Diceros bicornis minor: one gene and its partners. The protein of the gene in region 2 interacts with the protein of the main gene of each other region in a pairwise test. Links are inferred from orthologs where the notes say so. Each region holds a gene or a part of one and is shown on either strand. Other genes may lie near its edges. The genes, in order: CACNB4, EFHC2, TSSK3 and MAPK9.

Evidence for each region.
Region 1: the proteins of EFHC2 (region 2) and CACNB4 interact in binary tests that used the Homo sapiens proteins (3 or more experiments, as listed by UniProt). The two-hybrid records come from large-scale screens. The link is inferred for Diceros bicornis minor from reciprocal best matches to the Homo sapiens genes EFHC2 and CACNB4.
Region 3: the proteins of EFHC2 (region 2) and TSSK3 interact in binary tests that used the Homo sapiens proteins (3 or more experiments, as listed by UniProt). The two-hybrid records come from large-scale screens. The link is inferred for Diceros bicornis minor from reciprocal best matches to the Homo sapiens genes EFHC2 and TSSK3.
Region 4: the proteins of EFHC2 (region 2) and MAPK9 interact in binary tests that used the Homo sapiens proteins (3 or more experiments, as listed by UniProt). The two-hybrid records come from large-scale screens. The link is inferred for Diceros bicornis minor from reciprocal best matches to the Homo sapiens genes EFHC2 and MAPK9.

The regions. Positions count from the first base shown.
Region 1 is NC_080749.1:35,966,097-35,973,361, reverse strand, and holds the start of CACNB4 (voltage-dependent L-type calcium channel subunit beta-4), read left to right. Parts: upstream 1-4,260; coding exon 4,261-4,320; intron 4,321-4,525; exon of another isoform or gene 4,526-4,606; coding exon of another isoform or gene 4,607-4,615; intron 4,616-4,830; coding exon 4,831-4,914; intron 4,915-7,265. UniProt on the Homo sapiens protein: The beta subunit of voltage-dependent calcium channels contributes to the function of the calcium channel by increasing peak calcium current, shifting the voltage dependencies of activation and inactivation, modulating G protein inhibition and controlling the alpha-1 subunit membrane targeting.
Region 2 is NC_080781.1:38,620,844-38,628,241, reverse strand, and holds the start of EFHC2 (EF-hand domain-containing family member C2), read left to right. Parts: upstream 1-4,393; 5' UTR 4,394-4,453; coding exon 4,454-4,495; intron 4,496-7,398. UniProt on the Homo sapiens protein: Microtubule inner protein (MIP) part of the dynein-decorated doublet microtubules (DMTs) in cilia axoneme, which is required for motile cilia beating.
Region 3 is NC_080752.1:47,104,836-47,112,337, reverse strand, and holds TSSK3 (testis-specific serine/threonine-protein kinase 3), read right to left. Parts: upstream 2,548-7,502; coding exon 2,403-2,547; intron 1,671-2,402; coding exon 1,006-1,670; 3' UTR 507-1,005; downstream 1-506. Other genes in the region: protein FAM229A, read left to right, coding at 3,165-3,301, 3,383-3,529, 3,799-3,901. UniProt on the Homo sapiens protein: Serine/threonine protein kinase required for spermatid development and male fertility.
Region 4 is NC_080740.1:93,220,372-93,227,202, reverse strand, and holds the start of MAPK9 (mitogen-activated protein kinase 9), read left to right. Parts: upstream 1-3,817; 5' UTR 3,818-3,924; intron 3,925-6,831. UniProt on the Homo sapiens protein: Serine/threonine-protein kinase involved in various processes such as cell proliferation, differentiation, migration, transformation and programmed cell death.

The DNA of each region.
Region 1 (7,265 bases), on a different chromosome or scaffold from region 2:
TCAACCATTTGAGTAACTGCCAGACTGTTTTTCAAAGTGACTGCACCATTTTACATTCCCACCAGCAGTGTATTATGTTTCCAATTTTTCCATATCCTTGCCAACACTTATTATCTGACTTTTTGATTATAGTTATCCTAGTGGGTGTAAAGTGGTATCTTTCGTGGTTTGGATTTGCATTCCTCTGATGACTAATGATGTCAAGCATTTTTTCATGTGCTTATTGATCATTTGTAAATCTTCTTTGGAGAAATGTCTATTCAGATTCTTTGCCCATTTTTAAAATTGTGTTGTCTTTTTATTACTGAGCTGTAAGAGTTTTTTATATATTTTATAGATGCAAGTGTCTTATCAGATATATGATTTGCAAATATTTTCTCCCATTCTGTGGGTTGTCTTTTCACTCTCCTGACAGTGCTCTTTGGAGTTCAAACATTTTTAATTTTGACGAAGTCCAATTTATTTATTTTTTTCCTTTAGTGCTTGAGCTTTTCGTGTCATATCTAAGAATCCACTGCCAAATCCAAGGTCATGAAGATTTACCCTTACGTTTTCTTCTAACAGTTTTACATCTTTTTTTTTTTTGGTTGATTTGATATTTTATTTTATTTTATTTATTTATTTTTTATTGATGTTTTAATGGTTTCTAACATTGTGAAATTTTGGGTTGTACATTTTTGTTTGTCCATCACCATATATATGACTCCCTTCACCCCTTGTGCCCCCCCCACCCCCAGCCCCACTGCCCCTGGTAACCACAGTCCAGTTTTCTCTGTCCATGTGTTGGTTTATATTCCACATGAGTGAGATCATACAGTGTTTGTCTTTCTCTTTCTGGCTTATTTCACTTAACATAATACGCTCCAGGCCCATCCATGTTGTTGCAAATGGGACAATTCTGTCTTTTTTTATGGCTGAGTAGTATTCCATTGTATATATATACCACATTTTCTTAATCCAATCGTCAGTCGAGGGACACTTAGGTTGCTTCCACTTCTTGGCTATGGTGAATAATGCTGCAATGAACATAGGGGTGCATAAGCCTCTTTGGATTGTTGATTTCAGGTGCGTTGGATAGATTCCCAGTAGTGGGATGGCTGGATCATAGGGCATCTCTATTTTTAATTCTTTGAGGAATCTCCATACCGTTTTCCATAGAGGCTGCACCAATTTGCATTCCCACCAGCTGTGTATGAGGGTTCCTGTTTCTCCACATCCTCTCCAACATTTGTTGTTTTTTGTCTTGGTGATTACAGCCATTCTAACGGGCGTGAGGTGGTATCTTAGTGTTGTTTTGATTTGTATTTCCCTGATGATTAGTGATGTTGAGCATCTTTTCATGTGCCTATTGGCCATCTGTATATCTTCCTTGGAGAAGTGTCTGTTCATTTCCTCTGCCCATTTTTTGATCGAGTTGTTTGTTTTTTTGTTGTTCAGTTGTGTGAGTTCTTTATATATTATGGAGATCAACCCCTTGTCAGATGTATGTTTTGCAAATATTCTCTCTCAGCTGGTTGGTTGTCTAACAGTTTTACATTTTTAGCTCTTTCATTTACATCTTTGGCCTATTTTGAGTTAATTTTTTGTGTGTGGTGTGAGGTAGGGGTCCAACTTCATTCTTTCAGCCCTGGTTCTGGGGGCAGGGACAATGCTGTACCTCTCTCTCAGAGTGACACCCCCACTTTAGGAGCTGAGCACTTGGTAGGGAGGGGCAGCAGTCCCAGGTCTCCTGGCTTGCCTCTCCATGAGCAGTCAGGGCCCTGTATTCTCAGTGGTGCTCACCCAACGGACAGCCTCCATCCCATGAGTGGGGGCAGGGCTAAAGAAGGAAGCCCCCACCTCTCTTCTGTATTTGATGGGAACTTAGCCTCAGCAGCAGATAGCTGGGGCAGGTGGATAAATGCTGATGTCCTGTCCCTCCCAGGAAGATAACCCTCCTGCTGGGAGCTGAGGGAAGAGGGAGCCCTGCGTTCTCTGCTGCACCAATGTGGAGTGAATTTCCCTCTTGCTGAACTGCATGCAAGCAGAGAGAGAGGGAGTGGGGCTTGGTTCAAATACTACAGGCTCCCAGTTTTCTTACTGAGTTTTAGTAAATTTTCTTGAATAAATGTTTCTTCATTTGCTGTGGACTCTTAGGACCATTTTCAGAGATTTAAAAAAATATTTTAAATAATTTTCACCAGTTTTGCTGTGGGGTAGGTGCAGAGAACTCCTCACTGTCACGCAGCTGTAGATTCTCTTTTGATAACTCACAGTCAGAGAGACTGTGTGCAGTGGAAAACCAGAAAACTCAAATTCCAGTGCCCACATAATAATTCATTCTCTGTATATTGATTAAGTATCAACTATAAAAATGACTCAGAACTAAAAATGGATTGAGTTGACGGTAACTACGGCAGAAAGTTCTGCATTGGCAGACTTACCATTACCCATAAACTTTATGGAATATCTACTATATGTGAGTATAAGAATAGAAGATAAAAAGCTAAAAATCTATTTTAGAAATTAGGAGATTTTCACAAAAAGAGAACTAATAAACCAAGGCAGCCTGTACTAAGTGTCCAGAGAATAAATGCTCCGGTTTTTCAGGGGCATGAGAAACTATCCAGGACTAGAGTGGTCAGGGAGGATTTCTGTGGAGGAAGAGTGAGCTGAGCCAGGATTGGAGGAAGGGTTGGAGGAAGGGTGTGTGGGTTGGGGGTAGGTTCCATTCCAAGGCAGAGGTGCTGAGGTGGGATTGTACTTGCTATGTTTCAGCAACCAGTAGACCTGTTTGCTTGCTAGAAGGTCTGTATGGAGAGATCAAGGTGGAGAAATGAGGTGGTGACAAGAAAAGCAGGAGACAAGGGCTTGGCTGTTGGAACATGGAGTTGGGACCCAGCTCATGGGATGCTGAGAGCAATGAGTGCATTTTAGAGAAGAGTGACTTGGGCAAAGAGATTTGAGGAAAATGGCTTTGCCTGTCATATGTAGATGGAATGAAGTGTGTGTGTGTGTGTATGTGTGTGCAGGAGAAAGCCTGGACGCTAGGAGACTAGTTGTTAGACTTAGAAAGAAATGAAGGTCTGGATTAGGTGAAGGAAAGGAAGTCAGGACCTCAATAAGGCCAACTAATTGTTAAACATGGCAGTTTCCATAAGAAAAAATCCTAGAAGGCAAGGTGACACCGGCTGATTTAACAATTTGAGATACTATGCATATTTTAATGATGGATTTCTCATTCAGTAGTTATAGTTAAACAGGGTCTCTCTATTTTTGATTTCGCCTACATTTTCCTTCCCTCTTCTTATTACTTCAAATTCTCCCTCTCTTTTAATTTGATCTCAGATTAATCCCTTGTATGTATTTGCCGGAGGAAACCAAGGGTTGCAACAATGGCAAAGACTGTGTACGGTTTCAAGGAGGAGTTTCCTCCCTAGCAAACAGCTATCCGCGGAGAAATGGAAGGCACGTGGCCAACTCTTGCTTTTTAGCAGGTCTAAAATGACCTTCAAAACTCCTCAGGACATGTTGGTCGCCTGCGGGGCCGCATCTCCCGTCAGACTCAGGCTGGCAGAGTCTCGCGCGGCTGCCTGGATGTGTATGGCTCGCGGTTCTGAGGCTAGAGTTGACAAAACAAAATAAAACACGGACAAAAAGCAAACCACAAAACCCCATGCCTTACCACAGCGGGCTGACGGGTGAAGTCGCGAAAGGAAGGGTCGGCTCTTGCCTTTTTAAAATTCCAGTGCAGTAAACACACACACACACACACACACACACACACACACACACACACGCCCCGGCTGGCTCTTCCCACGCCCTGCCACACTGCACCAGCGTCCCTCCCCAAGTCCTGATTCATGAACCGTGCCACCTTTGTCTCATTTTAAACTGTGCAGACTATTTTAATCCTCCCACCCCCATCCCAGATTTTTTCCCCTCCCTGCATCCTCTGGAAAGCTCTGATGTAAGGCGCTCGCTAGGTGGGAGAGCGCTTCTCCCAATCGGCTCGGGCAGGCGAGATCCGGTGAAGCCCCCTCCGCAAGACCTCCGCCCGCGGGGCCGCTGCCCGGGACCCCCCTGCGGGCGCGGAGGAAGCGCCTCGGTCCCTTTAAGGTGTCGCGCTCTCAGAAGTGCGGGCAGGGCGCCCGGGGGCCGGCGAGGGTCCCGTAGCCGGGTGGGGACGCCCGCCGCCCTCCCCTCCTCCCGCCCGCGAGCCTGCGGGGGCCTGCCCGCCCTCCGCCCACCGCGCACGGGCGGGCCATGCGGCTGTGAACCATGTCCTCCTCCTACGCCAAGAACGGGACCGCGGACGGGCCGCACTCTCCCACGTCGCAGGTACCGCCCCCTCCTCCTCCTCCTCCTCCTCCTCCTCCTCCCTCCCCGCTGCCCGAGAGCGCCCCGCCTTCGTGCCGGGCGCGCGGGGCCCCCAGTCCTGAGAGTCCGCGGGCCGGCCGCCCCACCCCTCCCCCGCGTCCCTTTCTCCTCCCGCTCCTCCTCTTTCTCCTCCTCCTGGTCCTCCTCCTCCTCACCTCGTCGGGTCTCTGCGCTCCCGCTCCGGAGCCCGCAGCCTTCCCCAGCCGATGCCGGGGACTTGAACCCCGCACCCTGAGAGTCTTTGTTAATGGATGTGGTGGGTGCTCGCAGGCGGCTCTTCTCGGGCGTTTTTTCAGCCGTCGAGGCTTGGCATGGGTGGGTAGGGGTGGGGGCTGTACCTGGGGACCGCGGAGGAGATTTGGGTGCTGGCTCTGGGGGAGCCCGGGGAGCTGGTCCGGAGGCGGGGGTGGTCGCCTGGCTCGACGCTGCCGTCCTCACTGGCTTCTCTCTGGCCCCGTGTGTCGAGTCCAGGTGGCCCGAGGCACCACAACCCGGAGGAGCAGGTTGAAAAGATCCGATGGCAGCACCACTTCGACCAGCTTCATCCTCAGACAGGTAGGAGGCGGGCGCGGGAAGGAGGCGAGGAAGCAGGTCGGGGAGGCGGCCGAGCGCGCGGCGCCGGGGTCCGGGAGCCGGGCGCAGCCCCCCGGTGCGGGAGCGGCGGGTCGCGTCTCCGCGCGCCTCTGTGAAGCCCCGGGCGGGCGCTCCGGCTGCGTCCTTCTCCCTCTGTGCCCCTGCGCCCGGAGACTTCAGGTCCAGGCGTCTCCGCACCGCCCTGGGAACTTAGTTTGTGCGTGTGTACGCAAGTCGGCGGGGATCTGGTTTAAATCGGGGACGTTGAATTTAAGACTGAAAATAATTCTGGTTGCACCTTCGGTGTGTGGGGAAACGTCTCTAAGTCATGTAACTAGATTTTGCGTAACCAGAGCCCCTGGGACTGGTTTGATTCGGCTGAGAGTTAGGGGTCTCTTTTCTTTTGCCTTATTTTGAATACTCTTCTCTGACTAGGTCTTGGGAGAGATCTCCGAGCTCTGGTCAAAAGAAATACACTTTGAGCAGAAAGTTTGGTCTCACTTTGGGACCGCTTCTTTGGTTCGCTTAATTAAGGAAAGGCTGCCGGATCTGATTAAACCGAAATAAGCGACGGCCGGCACTCAGTTCCCGGGGTCTGAGTGGTACTACACTCAGCGTTTGTTTTTTCGAGGTGGTTTTCTTCTCGGTGCTTCTAGTGCGCATGGTGCATGCTAAAGATCGCCGGTTGCGCTGGACGCTTAGGTGCCTTTCACCTTGACACAGAAAATTGGTCCTTAATTTTCATACTGTCCATGTATGTAAATGAAACCACCCCTACATAGCTGCTGGGTGCTGGAGAGATCATGCAAAAGTGAGTCACCTTGATCTCTTTCTGGAACAGAAACTGTCGAGGTCTGTGCGTTCTGGGTGACCTGGGAGGATTTCTTTTATCCTGGGCTCCGCTGTGGGCTGCTGGAGTGACCTTGGGAAGTTCTTTTCCCAAGGTCTTTTCCTCCCAGGTCACTCAGAGCATTGTGTAATGTGTTTTTAACCTATGGTGGCAGCTGCGGTGTGTTTCTTTAGTGATTATCATCAATTTGAACAGATTATCCACGACGTGTGGGCATTAGATTCAAAATTGGACTCAGACCTCTCCTGAAGGGTCCAGAAAACATAGTTAGATATTTATTATGCGGATACTCATTTTCTGCAGAAAAAGAAATTACTACTACTCTTTCATTCAGTGAGCATTAAGCATAAGCATTATTAAAATAAATATATTTTGTATTCTGAATTCATTGTAAAAGTGCGTTCTATACCCTTTGCAGTGTTTAGATTACTTATGTATTTGATAAGTCAAAGATATTCTTCGTCTTTAAAAAAATTTTCGAGTTATGTGACCATTTGAGGTCTTGTTGATGTCTACTTCGTAGGTGCCTATTTTTGGTAGTGTTTTATGGTTGCAAAATTCTTAGAGATACTAATTATTCAGCAGTGTATTCAATGATCTGTTTTACTAAAAGTTTTGAGTTCATCTACACCTTCACTACACTAATGCTTTAGTCTTCCACACACAAACAAAACAATCAATATTCTTTCTAATATCCTTATTCTTTCCTCAATTTACTCCAATAAATGATTAAGTGAGATAATGCATGTGTAAGTTCTTGTTAAGTGTGCTGCCATGTGTTGGCTTAAAAATGTAAAAAGTATTGCATGCTAAATACTTTTGGGAATAATTTAAACCAATGCAGATTTTTAGAACTAATATATTTCATAAGTCTTTCTGAAACTGGGGTTTGTTGGTTTAATAAAATGGTCTAATTTAAAATCAGGAGTTGGTTGTAATAGTATTATGTACACAATCTTCCCACTTTTTTCTGCACAAAAATAATACATAATTTCGGGGAGCACTTACAGTTCTGTGAGTATCCTACACCTGATCTCATTTGAATAGCATAATATGGACTTCCATAATGGCTATAATAAAAATAAATGAGGGATTTTTATTTCTTTGACAAGAGAATAGAAACGATTGCAAATGGAATTTAACAATACTTTTTGAAATAAAATTAAACAGCTTTCACCCAAATGCCAAAAATTTTTTTTTTTTTTAAAAAGCATAACAGCTGTTTTTGTTATTAGAGCCTCATTATTTGTAGAATGACCAGTGATTTATTGTTTTTGAATTCTTGATACATTGGAGTGATGGAATTTCTTGGTGATATTTCACAGGCTGTGTGATGCTTTTGCACATGAAGAAGATAGTGGAGATACCAATAAAAATAGCACTGCTCATTTCTCTGTCGTGTCATTTACAAATATATGGAGGGATACCTTTCACTAAAAAAAAAAAAAAATTGAATAGTCAAATCAGATTGGTAAGATTGGGC
Region 2 (7,398 bases):
TACATTTAAAGTAGAGATCAGAGGAAAATTCATAGCCTTAAACACTTATAGCAATAAAAATAAAAGAATAAAGTAGAAAAATAATGAAGATTAGGAATAGAAAATAGTAGGTCAAAGTAATAAAGCAAAATTCTGGTGCTTTGAAAAAAGTAACAAAACATATAAACCACTAGCTAAATTAATCAAATGAAAAAGGGAGAAACACAGCTACAAAATAAGAAAGACAAAGAAGAAACAGAGAAGGACAGAGCAAAAACTTAATGTGGAATACACATGGGAACACAATGAACCAGACTGATTTTCAAATGAGTAACTTAACTAACATAAATGCTCTAAACAGGAAGAGGAGGAGGGGAGAGAGGAAACAAATCAGTCATTTTGAAACACAATATTTTGACTAAATATATTAGGACTAAAGAAAAAAACCTGAAAACAAACATTGAACTCTAGTTAGTAGGTTTGTTTTTTACAACGACATGAGTTACATATTCTGAAACTGCTTCAGGGGTCTTTTAGTATTGAACAAATAAGTAAATATTTTCAGGGTAATTGGATTCAGGTTTGTTACTATTTGAGAAGAGCATTACAGATGTGGAAAGTGGAGTTTGAACATGTACTCTATTGTGTTATTGGAATTGGACATACCAGTATAAACTCATGGGTTTTAATATATCTATTACTACATATACCTATATCTGTATCTATCTATCTATAGATAGAAATGGAAAGAGATATAACTATATGTGCATAGCTACATCTACCTATATCCATAGATATCTTGAATATCTTGTAGTGACAGCACAAGGAAGTGCTTGAAAAATGGTGGGGATAATCAAAAAGACAGAGGAGTAAACTTAGAAGGACTCTCACTGACCAAATGTGGGACACTTTTAGCTTCAAAATAGATAATAATAGTAAGAGATTATAAACCACTGAAGAAAATAAGAACCTGTAGACCATTCTGATATAAATGAATGAATAAATAAATAAATGGAGAGGGAGGAAAAGTACGTCCTTGAAGTAGAATGCCAACTAATATATGTAGAAGGAATGATGGAGTTAAGAAATCACCATTTGGTAACCATAATGGTAATAAATTGTTTGGGCAAAATCCTCAATTGACACTAGTAGTTTAATGAGGAACTTGGTATTTATATAGTCTCAAAGTATCTCCTCACAAAATTCTTATTAATTGGAAAGGAAAAACAGTAGCTTTACAGTGGAGAAACTTGGCACACACCACCTTAACCAGGTGATCAAAGTTAACCTCACCATTCATGGTTGAAATACACATTATGTACCTGTTTCTTTGATGAATGAGAAGGACACAGCATTCCTCTTGTGGTGTACCTGCCAAAAAGCCATAAACAAAAAGCCGTGGATTTACTCATGAGGAAATAGCGGTCAAACCTAAATTGAAGAACATTCTACCAAATATCTGGCCTATTCTCTTCAACAATATCAAGGTCGGGAAAGACAAGAAAGATGGAAGAATCCTTTCAGATTAAAGGCGAATAGGGGCTGGCCCCCTGGCCTAGTGGTTAAGTTCTGTGCTCTCCCCTTCTGCACGGGTTTGGTTCTGGGTGTGGACCTACACTGCTCATCAGCAGCCATGCTGTGGTGGCGACCCACAGACAATATAGAGGAAGGCTGGCACAGATGTTAGCTCAGGGCGAATCTTCCTCAAGAAAAAAGAAGAAGATTGGCAGTGGTCGTTAGCTCAGGATGAATCTTCCTCAGCAAAAAAAAAAAGAGAATAAAGAGACGTGACAACTATTGTGTGATGTTGGATCAGATTCTGGGCCAGATTTTTTTAAATTAATTTTTTTGCTATAAAGGATATTTTTGGAACAATTAACTCAATTTGAATATGTATTTTAGATTGGAAAATAGTATTTATTAATACTAATTTTCTGATTTTGATTATTATATGCTTCAGTTATGTAAGAGAATGTCCTTGTTATTAAGAAATATATACTAAAATATTTAGGGGGTAAAGGGGCATGATGTCTGCTATTTACTCTAAAATGGAAAAAATTGTATATATAAAGGGAATGATAAAACAACTATGGTAAAATACAAAACAATTGGTGGAATCTGGGTGAAGGGTAAACAGGAGTTCTTTGTACTATTCCTGCAACTTTTCTATCGGTTTGAAATTATTTCAATTTAAAAAGTATCAAAAAAGAAATATTTGAAAATATTTGTAAGAATGTGTAGGAGAATAATTTTGTTCTACAGAATTTTTTGAATTCCCATACAGTGCACAAATCATAATGGAAAAGAATGATCTATTTGAGTAGAGTAAAAGGACACATTCATGTACAATGAATAACTCTATAAATGGAATTAAAAGACAAACCACAAATGATGAGAAGATATTTGCTGTGCTGAGGATTAGTATCCAGAATATATTTAAAAAATTACAAATGATCAAATAGAAAAATCAGCAAAGGATATGAATAGATGAGTCACAGAAGACGGTAACAAGATGTGGAAAGATGACCAATTGCGCTAGGAATTAGAGAGAAACAAATTAAAATAAGAATGGTATACCATTTCACATTTTTTCAGATGATTGCTCAAAATTATACAATTTGATAATACCCATTGTTGAAAGGATGAAGGGGAAAGGGAACTTTCTTAATTGGTTCAACGATTCTGGAGTTGGTTAGCAAGATCTAATAAAGTCGAAAGTGTGAACAATTCCACCTTTGGGTATGTAGCCTAGAAAACCTCCAAAGAACAGGAGAGGATTGTGCACTGCAGCATTGTCGATAACTAGTGAAAAACTGGAAACAACCTAATTGTCATCATCAGATGACAAAAGATGGATCAGTAATTTGTGGTGTAATCATACAATGTTTAAAATGAATGAAATATATCTACATGTGTTAACAGGTAGAAATCTCAAAACCAAAATTTTAGGTGAAAAAAGCAGGCAGCATAAATTTATAGTGTAAAATTTATAAACACAGAAAAGAATAATGTATGCTGTTTACGAATAAAAAAGGAGATAAAGTCTCTGCTCTGGAGGAATTTGGGGGCATCTGAAGAGAGTCAAGTAAACGCATGATTACAACGCAGTACCGGGAAAGCCACAATTAGAATGAGCATCTAATACAGATGGGGGAGTGGAGAAGGTGAAGGAACATTTTCCAGAAATGGCAAAGACTTCCATGCCTCTTTCCTACACTGAACCAAGTCCTGAAAGACCAGAAGGGGTTACCCAGGTGAAAGATAGGAAGGAAGGGTGTTTCTAGCAGATAGTGAGCGACATTTGCAAAATCCCAGAGGGAAGACACCGTAGAGTCTGGTTTGGAAACTGGCAGTGGTTTTTCAGAGCTGGAGTAGAGGCGGGGGGCAAAGACAGGGATGGAGGGCGTTGGCAGGCCCCCCCGACATAATCTCTGACCACGCTAAGGAGTTTGCATCCTGAAGGCGGCGGGCGGAAAGGCTAGAAGAATATTGAAGCAGAAGAGTAACAGGTGCATCACGAATTGTAATAGGATGGCTCTGGAGGCAAGATCATTTAGTTGTTTGTTGGTTTTTTTTTTGAAAGAAAACCAGGCAAGAAATAATGGGGCCTCAACTGAGAGAGAGGAGGTGGTGACTAAGAGATGCCAGCGTGTCCAACCAGTAGGACTCAGGGAGGGACTAGCTGTAGGTGTGGGGGAGAGGAATCGAGGAGGCTCTTGGCCTTGGCATCTTGGGTGACAGGGGCCGCGTTTTGTGCCAACTGACCACACCTTGGCCACCCTGATTGGGCCAGGAACGAGCACTTTACAAATATTTATTTCAAATATAAAAATGTACAGGGGAAGGACTGAGGATGGTGGTTACCGCTGAATGGGTTTTCATGGGGAGGGGCGAAGACGGATGGGGTGTGTGTGGCTTTGGCTTCATCTCGAACGTTTTAATTACAAAATAAAGGCTGATGTAAATGTAACATTAACTAGCGTTACATTTCTGTGAGCACGAGCACGCGGGTGTCATATTCTTTTTTGCGCTTTTCTGTCTGTTTGAACTAAATTTAATAACCAAATGGCAAAAACTGTTGTGGCAAGAATCGCAGGAGCTTTAAGTACCGGAAAGCCTTTGAGCTCTAGAAAGGGGTTAAACTAGAAAGCGGCGGGGGCGGGGAATGGTGCAGTTGCCAGTCTTTGTCTGTGCACAATGCGTGTGGAAAGAAAAGCCCCGGGGGACCTGTGCGTGCCGGCGGAGTTGAGCCGGGGTGGGCGGGGGAGGAGGTGCGCGCGGGGAGCTTCCCGCCTGGCCCCGCCCCTCCCCGGCCCCGCCCAGAGCCCCCGGCCCGCCGCAGCCCCTCCTCCTTCGGTGACGCCGCCTCTCGTCTCTAAGTAACGAGGGGGGGGTCAAACGACGCGGCCGAGGGGCGGCCGCTGCCTGACGGTCCCTTTCCTCCGGGACCCTTGAGCCCTGGCCGCTCAGAGCCATGGCCCTGCCGTTTCTGCCTGGCCACAGCTTCAAGCGCAACGTGAGTAGTGAGGGCGCCCAGGGTCAGAAGTCCCGGCCGGAGTGTGGGGTCCAGGCGTGGTCTCCTCCTAGACCCTACTGGAGGCCTCCTGCCTCTGCTTCGCCTTCTAGGTGAATTGGGCACAACTTCGACCAAACTTTATAGGCTGGTGGGACCCTTGTTCTGGGCCTCCCCTTCCCTGTATCTCTCAAACTGCATCTGGATGCTTTTCCTACATGAGATACATAAGTAGAGTCCTTAGAGGTGGCAGGACCCTCAGAGGTAGCCGATGGTAGTGATGATGATTACAACCGTCGTTGAGTGTTTGAGGTGTGCCAGGCGCTGTGCTTTCATCGCCTTACACGGCGTTTGATGCTCCCAACAGCCCTTTGTTTTAGGTAGTATTTTTATTCCCATTTTACAGTTGAGGAAACTGAGGCACAGAGCGATGAGTCACTCATTGGCCAGAGCTACACAATCTCAGTGGTGAAGCTGGGTTTCTTCCAGGCAACTTGTCTCCACAGCCCAGGAACCTAATTATTATCCTTAATTAGAGGAAGTTTCTGTTATTAAAGTGAAGAAACCTGGCACACTGGAGGCTAGTAGGGGGCAGATAGGTGAGGGTTCCACCAGCTTATAAAGTTGGATCCTAAACTTTATAGAGAGAAGCACCCAAACTTAAAGTTCTTTTCTTTATTTAGAATTGGGAGGGGTTCATTTCAAAACAAGATGAAGTTACAAAACACCATAACAACACAAAAAACCCTGAGCAGGAAAGAACTTTTGCCAGGAAATAGCCCCTTATTTAAACAACAGCAGAGAAATGATTCAAGCTTTTGTTTGCACTGGTCACTACTTTTTACTTGGAATGTCCGTTGTGTCTGTAGGAAGAAGGTAAGTAATCCACTGGTGGGAGGGAACTAGATGGAGCCACTCAAGGTGTTTGTGTAAACCTCTGATAAATTTGGAAAACAGGCAGCAGATTGAAGCGTTCGATTTTATGGAGTCTGAACAGTGTCTATGTCCAAGTTGTCGGCCTCCAAGTACCAGTTTCTTCCTGGCTTCAGACCACTGGATTCTGACCCCCACAGATCGGCTGGTTAGTCCAACTTGCTTCTTGAACAGTGGTTTGTGTATTTCTTGGCTGATAGGGTAGAGGCTGGCCTTCTAGCCTAGCACTGCCCTGTGGTAAGGTTAAGCCAGCCACACAAATAAGAAAGACCTCTGAGAGGCAGGGCATGAAAAAAGATTCCAGAAGGAAAGAAGCATGCTGTATAAAAGTAAGTTTAATAAAAATTGAAAGTAGAGCCCACAGCTTTCGCCCAGCGTCACTTCAGATTACAGATGCCCACCTCCTGCAGAAGTTTCCCAGCTCTCACATGCAGTGATTAAGAGTGGGAAGGAAAAACAGTGGTTGGATGAGATATTTTAAAATCTGCTGGCTGCACTGAGTGTACTTTTGCTTTTTTTTTTAACTTTTTTTTATTGTGAAGTACAACACATGTACAGAAAAATGCACAATGGATGATCACAGGATGAACATCAAGAAATAGAATATTACCAGTATTCCAAAAGCATCTCTCTTAACACGGTTGCCAGAGTTAGCAAATAAAAATACATATCCTAGATATTCCCTGGGACCTACTTATACTAAAAGATGACTTGTTCTTTATCTGAAATTCAAATTTAACTGAGCATCTTATATTTTATGTGGCAACCCTTCTTATGACCCTTTCTGGTCATTACCCCTTCCCTTTTCTCTAAAGGTAACCACTATCCTGGCTGCTGTCACTATAGTTAGATTTTGCTTGCTTTTGAACTTATCAATGGAAATGTCCAGTGTTTAATTCTTTTGTGACTGGCTTTTTTTAGCTCAACATTGTGATTTGTTCATGTGGCTGTCTGTCGAGGTAGTTTGTACATTTTCATTGCTCTATAGTATTCCATTGTATGAGTGTGACGTCATTTATATACACATTTTTCTCTTGACAGATTTGGTTTGGGTTTATTAAGCATAGTTTGCTGTGGCTATTCTGGTTCATGTCTCTTGGTACAATTGCTAGATCATACGGTATTCGTATGTTCAGCTTTAGTAGACACTGTCAAAGTGATTATATCAATTTAAATTCCCACCAGCATTTGATGTTCCTCTTGCTCCACATTCTTTCTAACACTTGATACTGTTAGTCTTAGATTTTAGTTACTTTGGTCAGTGGATGTAGTGCAACTCTGTAGTTTTCATCTGCGCTTCCCTGATTCCTAATGAAGTTAAGCACATTTCATACATTTATTGGTTATTTGGATATTGTCTGTTGTGTAGTGCCTGGCTCTTGTCTGATTTTCTACTGGGTTGCCTGCCTTTTCCTAGTGATTTGTAGGAGTTCTATATAGATTTTGGATATGGCTCCTTTGTACGATATATGTGTTGCAAATATCTTCTAGTCTGTTTATTTCCTGTTTAAGAAATAGTTCCTTATACCAAGTTCATGATGATGTTTTCCTGTGTTATCTTCTGGAAATTTTGTTGTTTTTACCTTTCACATTTAGATCTATAATCTAATGGGAAGAAATTTGTGCATGTGTGTATGAAAAGAGGTGGGGGTCAGGTCGTATTTTTTTGCTATATGGATATTCTGTTGACCCAGAACCATTTGTTAAAGGACAAAATTCAACCAAGTAAATTTTAAAGATCTTATTGGCTTTATTCAGTGATTCATGAATCAGGCAGCATCCAGTCTAGCAGATAGAAAAGAGCTTCGAAGAGCTATATAAGGCAAGAGATTGTATAGGCAGAAGGGAGCAGGAACAAGGAAGTTGTACTAGGCAAAAATTGGATTGATTATCCTAAGGTTACTTGCCTTATAGAGAATGGCAGAGGTTTATCAGGCAGATTACCTAAGTAATGCTGACCAGGCGATTCCTGA
Region 3 (7,502 bases), on a different chromosome or scaffold from region 2:
CTGCTCTGGTGATTCTTGTACATAATCTGGTGTGTTCACCAATGATTTAAAGGGATGGTGGTCAGGGATGCCAAGAGAGTGGTGTTCATTTCCACTTCAAACCTTCAATGAGGGGGTGGGATGGAGAGAATGCTGAATCTTTTTTTGATGGGATGGGATTTTTCTCTTTGTAATTATTTCTTTAGTTTAATTAACCTTTTGGTTGTTTGTGCAATATTATATATTTTAAATTATAATGCATCTCCCCAGAGTATTTTGTAGCTGGGAAAAGAAAAAAGGAAAAAAAAAAAAGATTCTAACAGCTGTTAGTTTTGTAATTAAAAAAGAAAGAAAAAAGAACTTTGTCCTGAACCTTTTCCAGACTTGCCGTTAACAGCATTAAAGAGATTCAACAGAAGCTGGAAGGTGTCTGGGGGTCTGTTCTTGTCCCCCATGGCAGCTGCCCTTGGAGGCAAGGCAGAATGCACGCCATGTGCAGGGTGGCTGCCCACTTGGAGCCTGGGGGAGGGGGAGGGATGGGGGTTAGCCTGGGTCGTGGGGAAGTCCCTTGTCCTCATCCCAGACTCAGCTTGGCCTTTGGGATGAGGAAGGGACAGGGCCTCCAACAGACCTCTCACCAAGACAAGGAATCAAGACCATTTCTGCATTCCCAACACTTCTGCTTTTATTTGGAAAGAAAGTTGCAACAACAGTGGTTCCGATTGCTCTTGGTCATTTTTCTCCTCTCCTCCCCGTGTATGTGTATGATTCTGGGGTCTATTTTTAATTAACTTTAGTTAAACACCTGTATGAAAATCACTTGTCAGCCTTAATAAAAGGGAAGTCTGAACGAGGCCCTCTGGTTCCATGAAGATCTTTAAAGGAAAAGAGAAGTAAGGCTGGGGAGGGTGTAGGTAAGTTTTAGGATAAGTAAACTTAAAGTGTAAAATATATATCACCATTTTAGAAGCGGGTTTTGGGTTTGCTTTCTCCCCCTACTTTATTGGGGAGGACTTGCCATTGCTTTTACGAAGTGCTTGCTAGCCATGGATGCCAACTAACTTCTTCGATGGAAGGCCGGAGAGTCATGTCTGGTTCCAGGAGCCGCTTGAGCAGGTCCTGGCATTCAGCCGAGATGCCCAGATGAGTGGGGAAGGACACCCCCTTCTGCTGCTGCCACAGCATCTTGGGGATGTCTGTGTCGTCAAAAGGTAGGCTGGCACAGAGCATGACGTACAGGACCACACCCATGCTCCAGACATCACCCTTCTTGCTATCGTGGGGAATACCCTGCAGCACCTCAGGGGCAGCATAGGCTGTGCTGCCGCAGAAGGTTTGGCTCAGCTCCCGGCGTGACTTGGGCAGCACCTTGGCGAAGCCAAAGTCAGTCAGCTTCAGGTTGAAGCCTTGCAACAAGGCGTTCTCGCACTTGAGGTCTCGGTGGGCCACGCCACAGCCGTGGCAGTAGCGGATGGCCTCGACCATCTGACGGAAGAGGGCCTTAGCCTGGCTCTCAGGCAGTGGCCCCCCATTCAGCACGCAGTCAAAGACATCCCCTCCCTCAGCCAGCTCCATCACCAGGTAGATTTTCCCATCGGCGGACTCCAGCATCTCATACACCTGGATGATGTTCTTGTGGTCCAGGATACGGACGATCTGGAGCTCCCGAGGCAGGAATCTCTGGATAAACTCTGAGGAAACAAGGGGAAAAGAGATGGGGTATCAAGGCTGGAAGGGCCTAACTCCTTACTCCTGTCTCCTACCTTCCAGCTTCTGTCTGCCCATCACGTCTGGGTCTTGTGCCTTGGTTGCCTTTAACAGTCTTAAATGTCTAGCTGCTTGGACATTGCAAAGAATGTTCACCTCTATTATTTTTGCATTAATATATTATTCAAAGGAACTAGTCCCTGCCAGCCTCAGGGACTGTTGTGAGCAGCCTGTGAGACCTTGGATATCAAGGTGCTTTGGGGACTTGTAGACAAAGCCATTGAATCTCAGTTATTAGGCCTGATTTGCCCACAGTGAGGTGAGCGAACTCCTTCCACCCCTGCCTCCTGACCCACAGTTCTTTCCATGAGCCCTGTCTTTCCCATCTCTACCTGCCTTGGCACCAACTCCTGCCCTCTGCTAGCCCTGGCCGTGGCCTCTCTCTGTTCCCCTCCTGGAATAAGAGAGGCCTGGCAGGCTCAAGTTCTGCCTCTGAGGACTCTCCACCTCCTGCCACCTTAATTTTGGGTTTTGGAGGGTGTGATGTTCCTGGACTCCCAGCATTCTCTGTTCCCCACTGACCTACCCCAGAGGCACCATCTCTCTTGCTTTCCCTGGTTCCAGACTAAAGGGAGGAAGGAATGAGCCTTCTGACTGGAGGAAGCACCCACCCACCTCAGCCAGCCCTCCCTTCTTCCAAAGGGGCCCCAGCTCACCTTCTGGCCCTCCCATCTTGTCTATAATTTTAATTGCCACTTTTCTTTGGTGTTTTTTGGAAAATGCTTCTTTGACTTTTGAGTAGGTCCCTTCCCCAATGGTCTTGCCCAGCTGGTACCCATTGGAGAGCAGAAAGTCCTCCATGCTGTCTAGCGCCTCCTTCCTATCACCCTCTCAGCTCATGCTGCCTCCAGGAGGCAGCTCTACTCCACCATTGCCCTTGGCCAGCTACTTTTCCCCCCAAGGACTTCATCCGCAGCCGCCCCCAGCGCTAGAACATTCTCCGTCTGTACACAGCAGCCGCGGGTAGTGGGAAGGGAGATGGCCGGACATTTTAAAACTTCGGCCCAATTGTGATGTAAATGCTGTGTGACCCTTAGCCAAAATGGGCAGAGCCCGTACCTGCCCTCAAACGACCACCACCAAACCCAGCGCGGGTTAAGTCACTGGTGCGCCCCCGCCCCCACGCCAGGCAGTGAGTCGCAGGCTTTTCGGGGGGGGCGGCGCACACGGGTGTCTGCGCGGCCCAGGATGCCGAGCTCCCTTTGGTGGACGCTGCCTCGCAGCTGGTTGCCGTCTCCTCCTGCGCCCCCATCGGGCAGCTGGGGGTCTGCGCGACCCAGTGTCAAGGCGCCATGGCAAAAGCCCTCCGGCACCTGGCTCGCGGCCGCGCTAAGTGCCGGGGCGGCGGGGAGCGCTGGGGGATTCCTCAGTGGGAGGAACGGGTTCTGTGAGGTCAGCGCGCCGCGGCCCGGGTCACAATGCAGCCCTCCCCCTCGACGCCCGGGCCCGGACACGCCGCAGACACCTGCCCGGCTCCGCTTGGACCGGAGCGTCCTCCCGCAGCCAGGGCTCAGGCAGCTGCTTTCAGCCTGGGTCCGGCCTCGGCCTCCGGCAGGTGAGCAACGACCCAGGGCGCGGGCGCGGGGAGGGGGCGCCTGGCGGCCCGGGAGCAGCCTGAACGCCACTCCCCGCGCAGAGCGCCCCGGGGCCTGGACATGAGTGCCCGGGAGCCCCCGCAGGGTCGGAGATTCCCCATTGAGGCCGGAGACTCCCCTGGCCTTGCTGCCGCCCCCGAATCCCAGGACAGCCCAGAGCCGGTAACCACGGAGCACAACCCAGTCAGGTGAGGCCGGCGCCCCTCCCCCCGCGAGCCCTCTTGCCGTCCCGGCCCTCCCCACCGTCCCGAGGGGGAGCTGGGCGGACGGCTGCGCGCCGAGCGCTTCCGGCCCCGCCCCTGTCCCACTTCCCATCCCCAGACACCCCCGTCCCCCCAGTAGATGACCACATCCACGCCCAAACCTCGGGGACCCCAGGTGCCCTCCCCGGGAGCGTCCCCGACAAGATAGGCCGGGACCCCGCCTCAGCGTCCCCTGTCGCGCCCCGTCTCTCCAGGCCGCTTCGACGCTGCCCGGGCTGCCACTGCCTGACGCTGCTGCACGTGCCCATCGACGTCTATCTGGCCATGGGCGGGAGCCCCCGGGCCCGCGCCACCTGAGTGCGCCTGCGCACGGCGGCTCCGCGGGAGCCGGGCGGGAACGAGGCCCGCCGCGGGCCACCACGCTGAAATCGCGCACACAGAGCACGAGACAATGATGCACATTTTAAAATAAAAGAATGATGCACATTTTAATAAAGCACAGCATAAACTGTTCTTTCCACTCCGGGCTGGCTGTGTATGTCTATCCCGTCGGACCGGGCCGACCTACTGCTCCGCCCCATCCAATAGCACCTTCCCTTGGGCTGTCTCCTCCTTTGGACCCAGCCCTAGGGGCATGCTTTTCCGGGTCCCCTTTCTTCTTGCTGGGGGCCAACCCCTCCCCCCATTTGTTGCTGGTCCTGACCTCTTTCAGGACTACCTTTCAGCTTGGGCCCTCCCTCATCCTTCTTCCCATCCCTCTCCTTGGTTCTTGAATGGAATTCGCATTACTGTGCTGGACTCAGGGAGCCCAGAGCAGCTCACCACTGGAGAGGGATGGATAGACAACTTAGAGTAGAGAGAATGGCCACCCACACCAGGCTCACTTAATTCTCCCAGGATGGAATTAGCTTTTGCTACCTGCTGTTTGTTACCCTGGGCACCTCTGGCTTTGTTGGAGGGGTTAGGAGCTGCCCTGTCCATCTTGAGTCTTGGTTATTCCTAGAAAGAAGATTGAGGAAGAAGTTGTTTGAAAAACTTTGATTTCTTATTCCTATTTTACAGGTGAGGGAACTGAGGCTTGAAAGACTTGTCCCAGGTCCCCCAGATGATGGGTGATGCTAGCACATTCCTCAGTGTCCTCAGACTTAATGCTCTAAAAGCCATCCATAAGAGGGGCCATGACACGAAGGCTGCCTGGAAGTGCAGTATTTAAGCTGAACGAGTATTTTCCCACTTTCTAATTTTGCTTTGAAGAACCTGCATTATTATATATTTTTTTGCTGTCCTTTTTTTATTTTATTGAGGTCATAATAGTTTATAACATTGTGAAATTTCAGTTGTATATTATTATTTGTCATCACCATATATATGTGCCCCTTTACCCCTTATGCCCACCCACCAAGCCCCTTCCCCTCTGGTAACCACTAATCTATTCTCTCTGTGTGTTAGTTTATCTTCCACATATGAGTGAAATCGTATGGTGTTGGTCTTTCTCTGTCTGGCTTATTTCACATAACATAATACTCTCCAGGTCCATCCATGTTGTTGCACATGGGATGATTTTGTCTTTTTTTATGGCTGAGTAGTATTCCATTGTATATATATAACACATCTTCTTTATCCATTCATCAGTCAGTGGACACTTGGGTTGCTTCCACTTCTTGGCTATAGTGAATAATGCTGCAGTGAACATAGGGGAGCAAAAGTCTCTTTGAATTGTTGATTTCAAGTTCTTTGGCTAAATACCCAGTAGTGGGATAGCTGCATCGTATGGTATTTCTATTTTTAATTTTTTGAGAAATCTCCATACTGTTTTCCATAGAGGCTACACCAGTTTGCATTCCCACCAGCAGTGTATGAGGGTTCCCTTTTCTCCACAACCTCTCCAACATTTGTTGTTTTTTGTCTTGGTGATTATAGCCATTCTAACATGAACCTGTACTATTTTAACACTGGAAATAATATATGTAACCCAAACGTCAGGTTCAGTCTCCTGTCCCCTGAGATCTAAATACAATTGACTCAACACCCCTCCCCTAATCCACATGGGGTAGAAGTCCAAGCCCTCCCCAGAGCACTTCAGAATCCCATGGTCACGCTGAAGGGCAACCTTTCTCAACTTCCACACAAAATACCCTCCCAGGCAGTCCCAAACGTTATTGGGACTTATTGGCTTATTGAAGGAGAGGACGTTTGCCAAAAAAAAGTCTACTTCAAAGTGAGGACTTTAGACTTGACCATTCAGTCCTCTGGTCCTTTAAATACCCTGGCTCTTGAAAGCCCCTCCATGCCTATCTTTCCCCTTCACCAGGATAATCCCTGGCTTCAGGCCATAGAACTGGCCTCTCTCTCCTTCACTCCTCTCCTCCTCCACCCTGACCTCCTGCAGAGCCCTACTCCACCCCCCAGGGACTCTCGGTTCCTCTCTCTATTAAGTAGAGTAATCCAGCTGTTCCCATTCCCACCATACTCCATGTAAGCCCTACTCAGCCTAGCAACCTATGCTGCTGCTCTGCAGAAAAAGGGCCTTCCCCCCCCCCCCCCCCCCCGTAAACAGTACTCACCCTCCTTAGGAGGCCATTGTAATTTCAGAGAGAAAAAATTATTGGCCTCTGTATTGATAAGTTCTCTCCACTGCGAGCAACTGAAGTTAGCTTAAGCAAAAAAGGAATTGATTGTTTGAAGTGGCTGGGAAGGACATAAGCTAGTGATTAAAGGAAGAACTGTAGGAACCAGGGCATCCTTGGGCTGGAACCAAGGATTCAACCCCACCAGACTGCCCCATCATTCTTGATTATCTCCTCTGGGCAGGGAACATGGCTGCAGCAGCTTGGAAATCCCAGGAAGGGAGCTGCTTTCTCCAGTCTCAGTATACCTATCCCTGGAAGGGCAATAACTGGCCCTTCTTAAATCATGTGCACACTCCTTGGGCCAATCACCATTGTCAGAGAGATGGGAGACTATAATTGACCAGGCTGAGCCATAGGTAAGCCTTCCCTTGAGGTGCAAGCATAGCCGGATGATTGACAGCATCATCAGAAAATAATGAGCAGAAGTTGAAGAAAAAACATTCTGGGATCAGAGACAGCTTATGCAAAGATTGGAAGATTGGGTATGCTGGGAGAAAAAGATACCTGCAAAAAAGGGGTAGAGAGTGGCAGGAGTCAGGATTCCACGGAACTCTGTTCCATGGCGATCAGGAGCCTTGGACAGTGTTACCAGTCATCAGATCACTGGGTTCTAGTTCAGGCTATGTCCCTGACTCAGACAGTACAGGTCTACCAGCCAGGCCCGTGCAGGGCACTGGGGATTCAGCAGTGACCTTGACAGACATGGACCTCGGCCCTCATAGATCTCACATAGCCTACTAACGACCTGCTGGCAGGCCTCACTCAGTCAATTCCCTTCCCTCTGGGCCCATTTCCTCACTGGTATAAAAAAAAGAAAAAACAAAAGGCACCAGCTGATCTCTAGGACCTTGCCAGCACCAAAATGCTGAATCCTTCCCATTCTTCCTTTCTCTCTTCTCTTTTCCCTTACTTCCTTTCTCCCATCTTCTCAACCCTCCTTTCCTTTAAAAGATTTATTGCCACCTCCCATATGCTTGGATATTGAGGGATGCCAAGATTCCAAACACAAGCCTTGCCAATGGGCCAGACCCTGGGGCTAGTTAGCTCTAGAGTGTCCATGAGCAAGGGGAAAGGGCATGCCAGGTGGAGGGAACATTGTGGGCAAAGGCCCAGAGGCAAGAAAGTAGAGGGCAAGTTCAAGGAATTCAGTTCAGTCAACTTCCACCAATACCTACTTGAGCCACACCAGGTGCTGAGAACCCAGGCCTGAACCTGACAGATCCCTTGCCTTTGCTCAGAATTGAGGGGATCCAGGGAGGGGTTCACAGAAGAGAAACTGGGTCAAGGAGGCCTTGAGTTTGAACTTTATTCTGTAGGTGACAGGGAGC
Region 4 (6,831 bases), on a different chromosome or scaffold from region 2:
GCCTTCCTCTCCACAGGAGGGTGAGCAGGCCAAGGGCAGAGGTCCCTACTCCAAAAGCCAGGCCAGCAACCATGGCGTCCTCCCCAACTCCTCCTCCTCCCTCACCCCCACACCCCACCTCTCACTAAGACCTGAGAATTCCACCTCTCAAACAGCTTTTTTTCTTTACATCAAGTTTATTTTAGTATAATTTACAGACACTAAAAGTCACCCTTTTCCAAGTGCGCAGTTCTGCATTTTCACACACATATAGTCATATGACCACTGCCATAATTAAAACATAGTTTACCCATCATCCCCCAAAATTCCCTCAAAGCCCCCCTGTAGTCATTCCCCTCCCCGTACTTGACCTTTGGCAACCAATGATCTGATTTGCTTTTTCCGTAATGTCATATTAATGGAATCATAGAGGACGTAGCCTTACGTTTGGCTTCTTTCCCTTAGCATGATGTTTTGGGTACTTATCCATGTGGTGCACTTGTCAGCAGGTCACATTCCGCCATATAGACGTACTACAGTTTGTTTGTCCATTCACTGGATTATAAGCATATGGGTTTTTTCTAGTTTTTGACTGTTGCAAATAAAGCCGCTATGAACATTTGTGTACAGCTCCTTGTGTGGACATGTTTTTATTTCTCTTGATACACACCCAGGAATGGGATTGCTGGGTGGTATGACAGGTGTATGTTTAATGTTATCAGAAGCTGCCAAACTGTTTTCCAAAGTGGGTATACCATTTTGCTTTCCTACCAACAGTGTAGGGAGAGTTCCATTTGCTCCACATCATCACTAACACTGGATATTGTCTGTCTTGTTTATTACAGCCATCCTAGTGGGTGTGTAGTAATAGTAGTTCATTGTGATTTTAATTTGCATTTCTCTAAAGTCTTGAAACAGCTTTTTTTGTGTGTGTGTAAGGAAGATCAGCCCTGAGCTAACATCCATGCTAATCCTCCTCTTTTTGCTGAGGAAGACTGGCTCTGAGTTAACACCTATTGCCAATCCTCCTCCTTTCCCCCTCCCCCCAAAGCCCCAGTAGATAGTTGTATGTCATAGTTGCACATCCTTCTAGTTGCTGTATGTGGGACGCGGCCTCAGCATGGCCGGAGAAGTGGTGCGTCGGTGCGCGCCCGGGGTCCGAACCCGGGCCGCCAGTAGCGGAGCTCCCGCACTTAACCGCTAAGCCACGGGGCTGGCCCTTGAAACAGTTTTAAAATCAGTTCCTTCCTCTTGACACCTGCTGCCAAGACCACGGCCCCAGGCCAGGCCAGGCCTCATCTTCTCTCACAAGGGCCTTTGCAATAGCTCCCTAACTAGTCTTGTGGCTTTAAGCCCCACATCCCTGAAACTTCATATGCCCTAGTAATCTTTCCAAAATAAACTCCTAGTTACATTGCTCACTTCTTTTCTTAATATCCATCAACAGCTGCCCTTTATCTCCACAGCCAGGCCTCCACTCTGCAATGCCCCAAGGGCCAGCAGGTAAGGGATGAGTGAAGTTGCAACCAGGCATGGGTAATAGGGAATGGTGGGGACTGTGGTGAACTAGGGGCCTCACCTAAAGGGGCAGCTGCCACTCAGTTCCAGCTGACCACTGCCCTCTGGCAATGCAGGCCCCATGTTGCCAGAGCTTCTAACTATTTAAGAGAAAACAACTGAGCTTTTTCAAGCGAAATCTCCCAATTTTTAAATGCTGGTAACTGGCAAGTCAATTAAAAAACAAAACCTCCTCTCTGGGCTAAACAGGGAATATCAGTGAGCTGAAGCCAGCCCATGGGACTCCAGTCAGCAGTGCCAGCTCACCTGAAGGCCCTCATAACTCTCCAGTCCCTCCTCCCCTATCTCCAGCAAGACCAGGTGACATGTGGTTCCCTGAACGCAGCACGCAGGTCCTCACTTCTGAACCTTTGGGTCTGAGGGCCCTTTCCACCTAAACCACTGGCCCAGCACGTTCCTGCTGGCTTTCCACCCTGGCTAGGGCTTCTTCCTGTCCAAGAGGCCTTCTTAACTGCGTCTCCCACCTGGCAGGCTGGGTCAGCTGTCAGTTATGCTCCTGGGCGCCCCTCCCCTCATCGCAGTTCTCATCACACCTGCAGGATCTTCTCACTGGTCCACCTCACCAAATTCCGTGCACTCTTCCAAGGACGGACCAGCCCCCTTCCCTGCACTGTCACCTCAGCTCTGTGCCCATAAATGTTCACTGTATTTCATAAACCAGAAAAAGGCAGACTCCTTTCAGAAAACTCAGGGTGGAATATGTACAGGTGTGTGTATGTACAATGATTTTTGGTATGCACCTTGCATGGCATGAGTGCTGAAAACTCAAGGCTGGAGTGTGTCTTGGAATGGGTACCCCTTCCTAATCTGAGGAGAAGCCCCCATGAGACTTGGTAAACCTGCAGCTCTGACATCCAGGCTTTACTAGTTTCCCATAATCCTAGATGGCAGTCATTTTTGGTTCCCTGTTTCTGTTGTGCACCTGGGGCAAGTGGCAGGTGAGGCTGAGGTGAGGACAGGAGCCCACCTGGTGGGCTCTCCTCAATGCAGGCCACACTCCGGAGCTAGAATTTCAAGCAGGGATGGGCCATACTCAATCTTAGAAAACTCCCTCTGGTGGCCAAGGTGGAGGGTGCCTAAGAGGGACACCATGGCCGGATCCCTTCCTCTACCCAACCCCTCCTCTGAGGCCCTGGTGCCCCCAGCCTGGCCTGGGTCACAGGTTTGCTGCTCTTCCCAAATTGTGCCACCAACCTCCATACCCCTATGCCCCTAGACCTCCCCATCTGTAAGGTCCTGCTCCTTTCCCCTAATTTAAACCCCGCCCTGGTCACCCTGTGGGCCCTGGCTTCCTGTGAGGGCTGTTCCTCCTCCGGAGTCCCCCACTCTCCCCATCTCCAAAGTCCAACTCCCCCCACCCCATCCGTGGCCCTCTGGGCTTTTCCCCCCTGTGTCCAGCCTCCTTGCCTCACTTCCAGCTTTGCTTATCCAATAAGCGAATCCGGAATACCCAATACCCTGGCCTCTGCCATCATTTCATACGTTCCCAGGCCCGCTGGAACCCAGCTGGGCCGGAGGGCTGTGGGAGATGACTCAAACGGAGGTCGGGGTCAGCGAACTCCAGCCCCTAGGGGCCCTCATCACTGCACTCCCCTCCCCTACTTATGAGCCTGCCCCTCTCCTCTCAGGCAGAGGCTTGAACCCTGCCCCAAGCGCACCCGCCTGTCTAGGCCTCCTCTGTCACTGACCGGCCGGGGACACTTGTCTGCACATGGCCATCTCCTTGCACCCGCTCCGTTCAGATTGCTGGCGGCACCCCTAAGAACCCTTTCCAGGGAGCGGCGGCGTCCGAGGCCCCCGCCTCCCCTCCCCAGTCGCTCGCGGCCGCGCCTCCTCCTCCCGGGAACCACCCCGCGCCGTCGCCCGGGCTGTCCCCACACCGACCGGCTCCGTCCCGTCCAGGCCGCATCGCCGCTGCCACTGCACGTGTAGCCAGAGGCCCGGCTCCTCGGTCCCGCCGGCCCCCTCTCCGCCGGCTCGCTGTCAGGCCGCGGCACCGCGGGCCCCGCGGGCTCGACGGACACAGCGGCGCGCACCCCGCCTGCGGCCACAGGGCGCCGGCCAGCCGAGGCCGCGGCCCCGCCCCCGGCCCGGCCCGCCCCCCGCCGCCATTGGCCGCGACCGCTCGGCTCTCCGCGCACTGATTGGCCGGCGCGCGGGTCGGTCAGGCGGGCACCGCGGCGGCGGCGGCGGCGGCGACGCGAGCGGACCGGAAGGGTCGAAGCGCTCGGCGCCCCTCACACCCACGGCGACGGCGGCGGTGGCGGGCGGGGCGGCGGAGCCGGGGCCGCGGAGCCGCGAGCGGCCAGCGCAGCGCCGCCAGTCCGCCCGCCCGCCCTCTCCCCGGCACGGCGGTGGAGAGGCGAGGTGAGCCGGCGGGCGGGCGGGCGGGCGGGCGGCTAGGCCCGGCGGGGGCCGCTCGGGGAGGGGCCGCTCAGGGAGGGGCGGCGGGAGGGCGGCGCGGCGGGGGCGGGGGGCTGGGGGCCGCGGGCGCTGGCGTCGCCCCTGAGCTCGGCCGCCGCGGGCCCCCGCCCGCCGCTGACAGCGGCCCGGGGCTGCGCGCTCGCCGGCCCGGCGGGCAGACGGCCGCGGGTCCATGGGCGCCGCCCCCGCCGTGGGGCGCAGCCGCAGCCCCGCCGGGATGCTCAGGGCCCGGCCGGGCGCCGACCCTCACGGCGCCCCGGTCTCCCCCGGACAGGCTTGCGGACAGGGTTGTTGTCAGGCTCGGGGAAGGTGTGTGAAAGCGCTGGGCGGGAGCCAGCCCCTGCGGGTGCTAGTGTGGCAGGAGCCCCCACCCGCGCTTCTCCGGGGCCTCGTCATTGCCCACTCGGTGCCCAGCGACGCCAGAGCCGGCGTGCCCACCTCCCCACCACTCCCCCACCCGGAGCACCGCACTCCTCTGCCACCCGTCTTCTCCCCCGCCTTGAACCTGTGGCCCCGTTTACCTCAGGACCTTTGCACTGACTGTTTCCAATGCTTGGAGTCGTCGCCCGGATCTTTGCACAGCTGGGGCTCCTGCTGGTCCTTCCTCCGGTCAGACGGCTCCTTCTCTCTGAGGCCTTCCGTGACCACCCTCTTTCTTCTCGTAGTCCTTCTGTCTCATGTTGGTTAACTTTCCTCCAAGCATTCACTCAGGTGTGAAACGACTCTATTTATGGGTCTGTTTATTTTGTCTCCCCCACTAGGATGTAGCCTTATGAAAACAGGTAGTTGTCTAATTAGTCCACTGCTTTATCCCCAGTGCTTAGAAAGCCCACAGTAAGTACTCAGTAATACCTGTTCACTGAGTGAAGCAGCCACTCTGCCTGCCTGCGGCCTCTGCTCTATCTGTCCGTGTAGTGACTCATGAGTGACGAGTGAAACTTGTAAGCGGATGGAAGCTGGTTCTCGTTTTGTGAAACATTTGAATGTCCTTGACCCCTTTATTTGGTAACTGTCAGAACAAGCTGTGATATAAACTTACATTTCTGTAGCGTTGTCGCTCTAACTTCGCACGTTCAAGAGACATTGCATTATCTGGGTCAGGCTTTCTGCTTGACCCTGAGGACACAAAGGCAATACAACAGGGTCCCTTCCTCAGGAGAGCCCAGTGGAGAAGGCAGACGTGCAGACCTTCGGTGCCAGGACAGAGTGCCACTCTGCGGTGGAGGGGCTGTGCCCTGGAAATGAGGAGGCCACCGGTGGTACTGGAGTCGGGCCTTGCGTGGTGCTGAGAAGTGTGCCAGGCGGGGAGAGGCACAGAAAGGGGTAGGGCAGGGCGAAGGAGGGACTTGAGCCTGGTGTGGGGTTGGGAGTTGGCCTGCAGGGCCAGGTGTAAGACAGTCCGGAGTGGTGGGGACCCCGGAGAACCAGACCTTGCCTAGCGTTTTTTAAAATGCAGAATTCTAGATTTGTATCTCTACTCTCCTGATTTTTAAATATTGGCAGTAGCTAATTAAAAATTTTTTCAGGGGCCGGCAGTGGTGCAGGGGTTAAGTGCGCGCGCTCTGCTGCGGCGGCCCCGGGGCGGCCCCGCAGGTTCGGATCCCGGGCGCGCACCAACACACCGCTTATCAGGCCATGCTGTGGCAGCGTCCCATATAAAGTGGAGGAAGACGGGCACAGATGTTAGCCCAGGGCCACTCTTCCTCAGCAAAAGGAGGAGGATTGGCATCAGATGTTAGCTCAGGGCTGATCTTCCTCACAAAAAAAAAAAAAAAATTTAATGCCACGAGCTGAGCAAAATACAGACCTCATTCAGTTTGGCTGCAGGATTGTCAGCCTCCAGGGCAGGTTCGTAGGAGGGAAGAGCTGCAGTGAGCTGGAAAGGTAGCCTGAGGCCAGGGGAGCTAGGCCCTGCTTGTCCAGATACTCTCCTTTAATTGTCACTGGAGCCCTGTGAGGAGCACCTATGAAACCCATTTCTGCAGAGGAGGAAATGGAGGCTCACAGAGTTTCAGCTGTTTGCGTCACAGCCAGCAGCTGGAAGGTGAAATTTGAACCCAGGTCTCCCCCAGATTAGCGTTCTTTCCTAGTCCCTCAGCTCTAAGTATTCTCTTTTGGCTTTTAATTTGTTCTGGAAGAACAACATCTGATCTAGATAATGTTTTCTTTCATTTAACCGTTTTTTTCCCTTCAAAAGGATACTACAGGGTTAAAAATAATCCTATTTTGGTATAGTCTTCTCTGGAGAGCTTTTAAATTTTCCTGAGAATTTTCAGGATGCCAGGACTTTAAATAATTTGTTGATGACTAAAATGTGTTTATATGGCCCCCCCTAAATAAATGTTAGGGCGTACACTTCAGTTTGTCTATTTAAAATAAAATTTTAGTTTTCTGGATAAAGAAAAGTGCCAGGTGAAGCAATTAATAGTGAGTAAAGCAATTGTTTTTATGGTGCATAAAGTAAAACAGAAACTACATTTTTTTCTTAACGCTATTGATTCAGCAGTAGGGCAGCTATTTTTGGTCTAAATATGTAGTTATACTTCACTCCTGGTTAAGAAGGTGACATTTTTACTTAATTTTCCTTAAAAATAATTAAATTTGTACTTGGCCTTTTGTGATTGTGTGAACTAGTTTCAACATCAGTCTTGATTTTAACTGTTTATTATGAGGACTTTCAAACACACGCAAAATGAACAGGATGGTATCCAGCTTCAACAGTTGTCAACTCCTGGCCAATCTTGTTTCATCCCTAACCTCATTCACTTACACCCTCACCCCCCATATTATTTTAAAGCAAATCCTATATATTATGTGATTTCATCCATGAATTTTTTAGTATATGTCTCT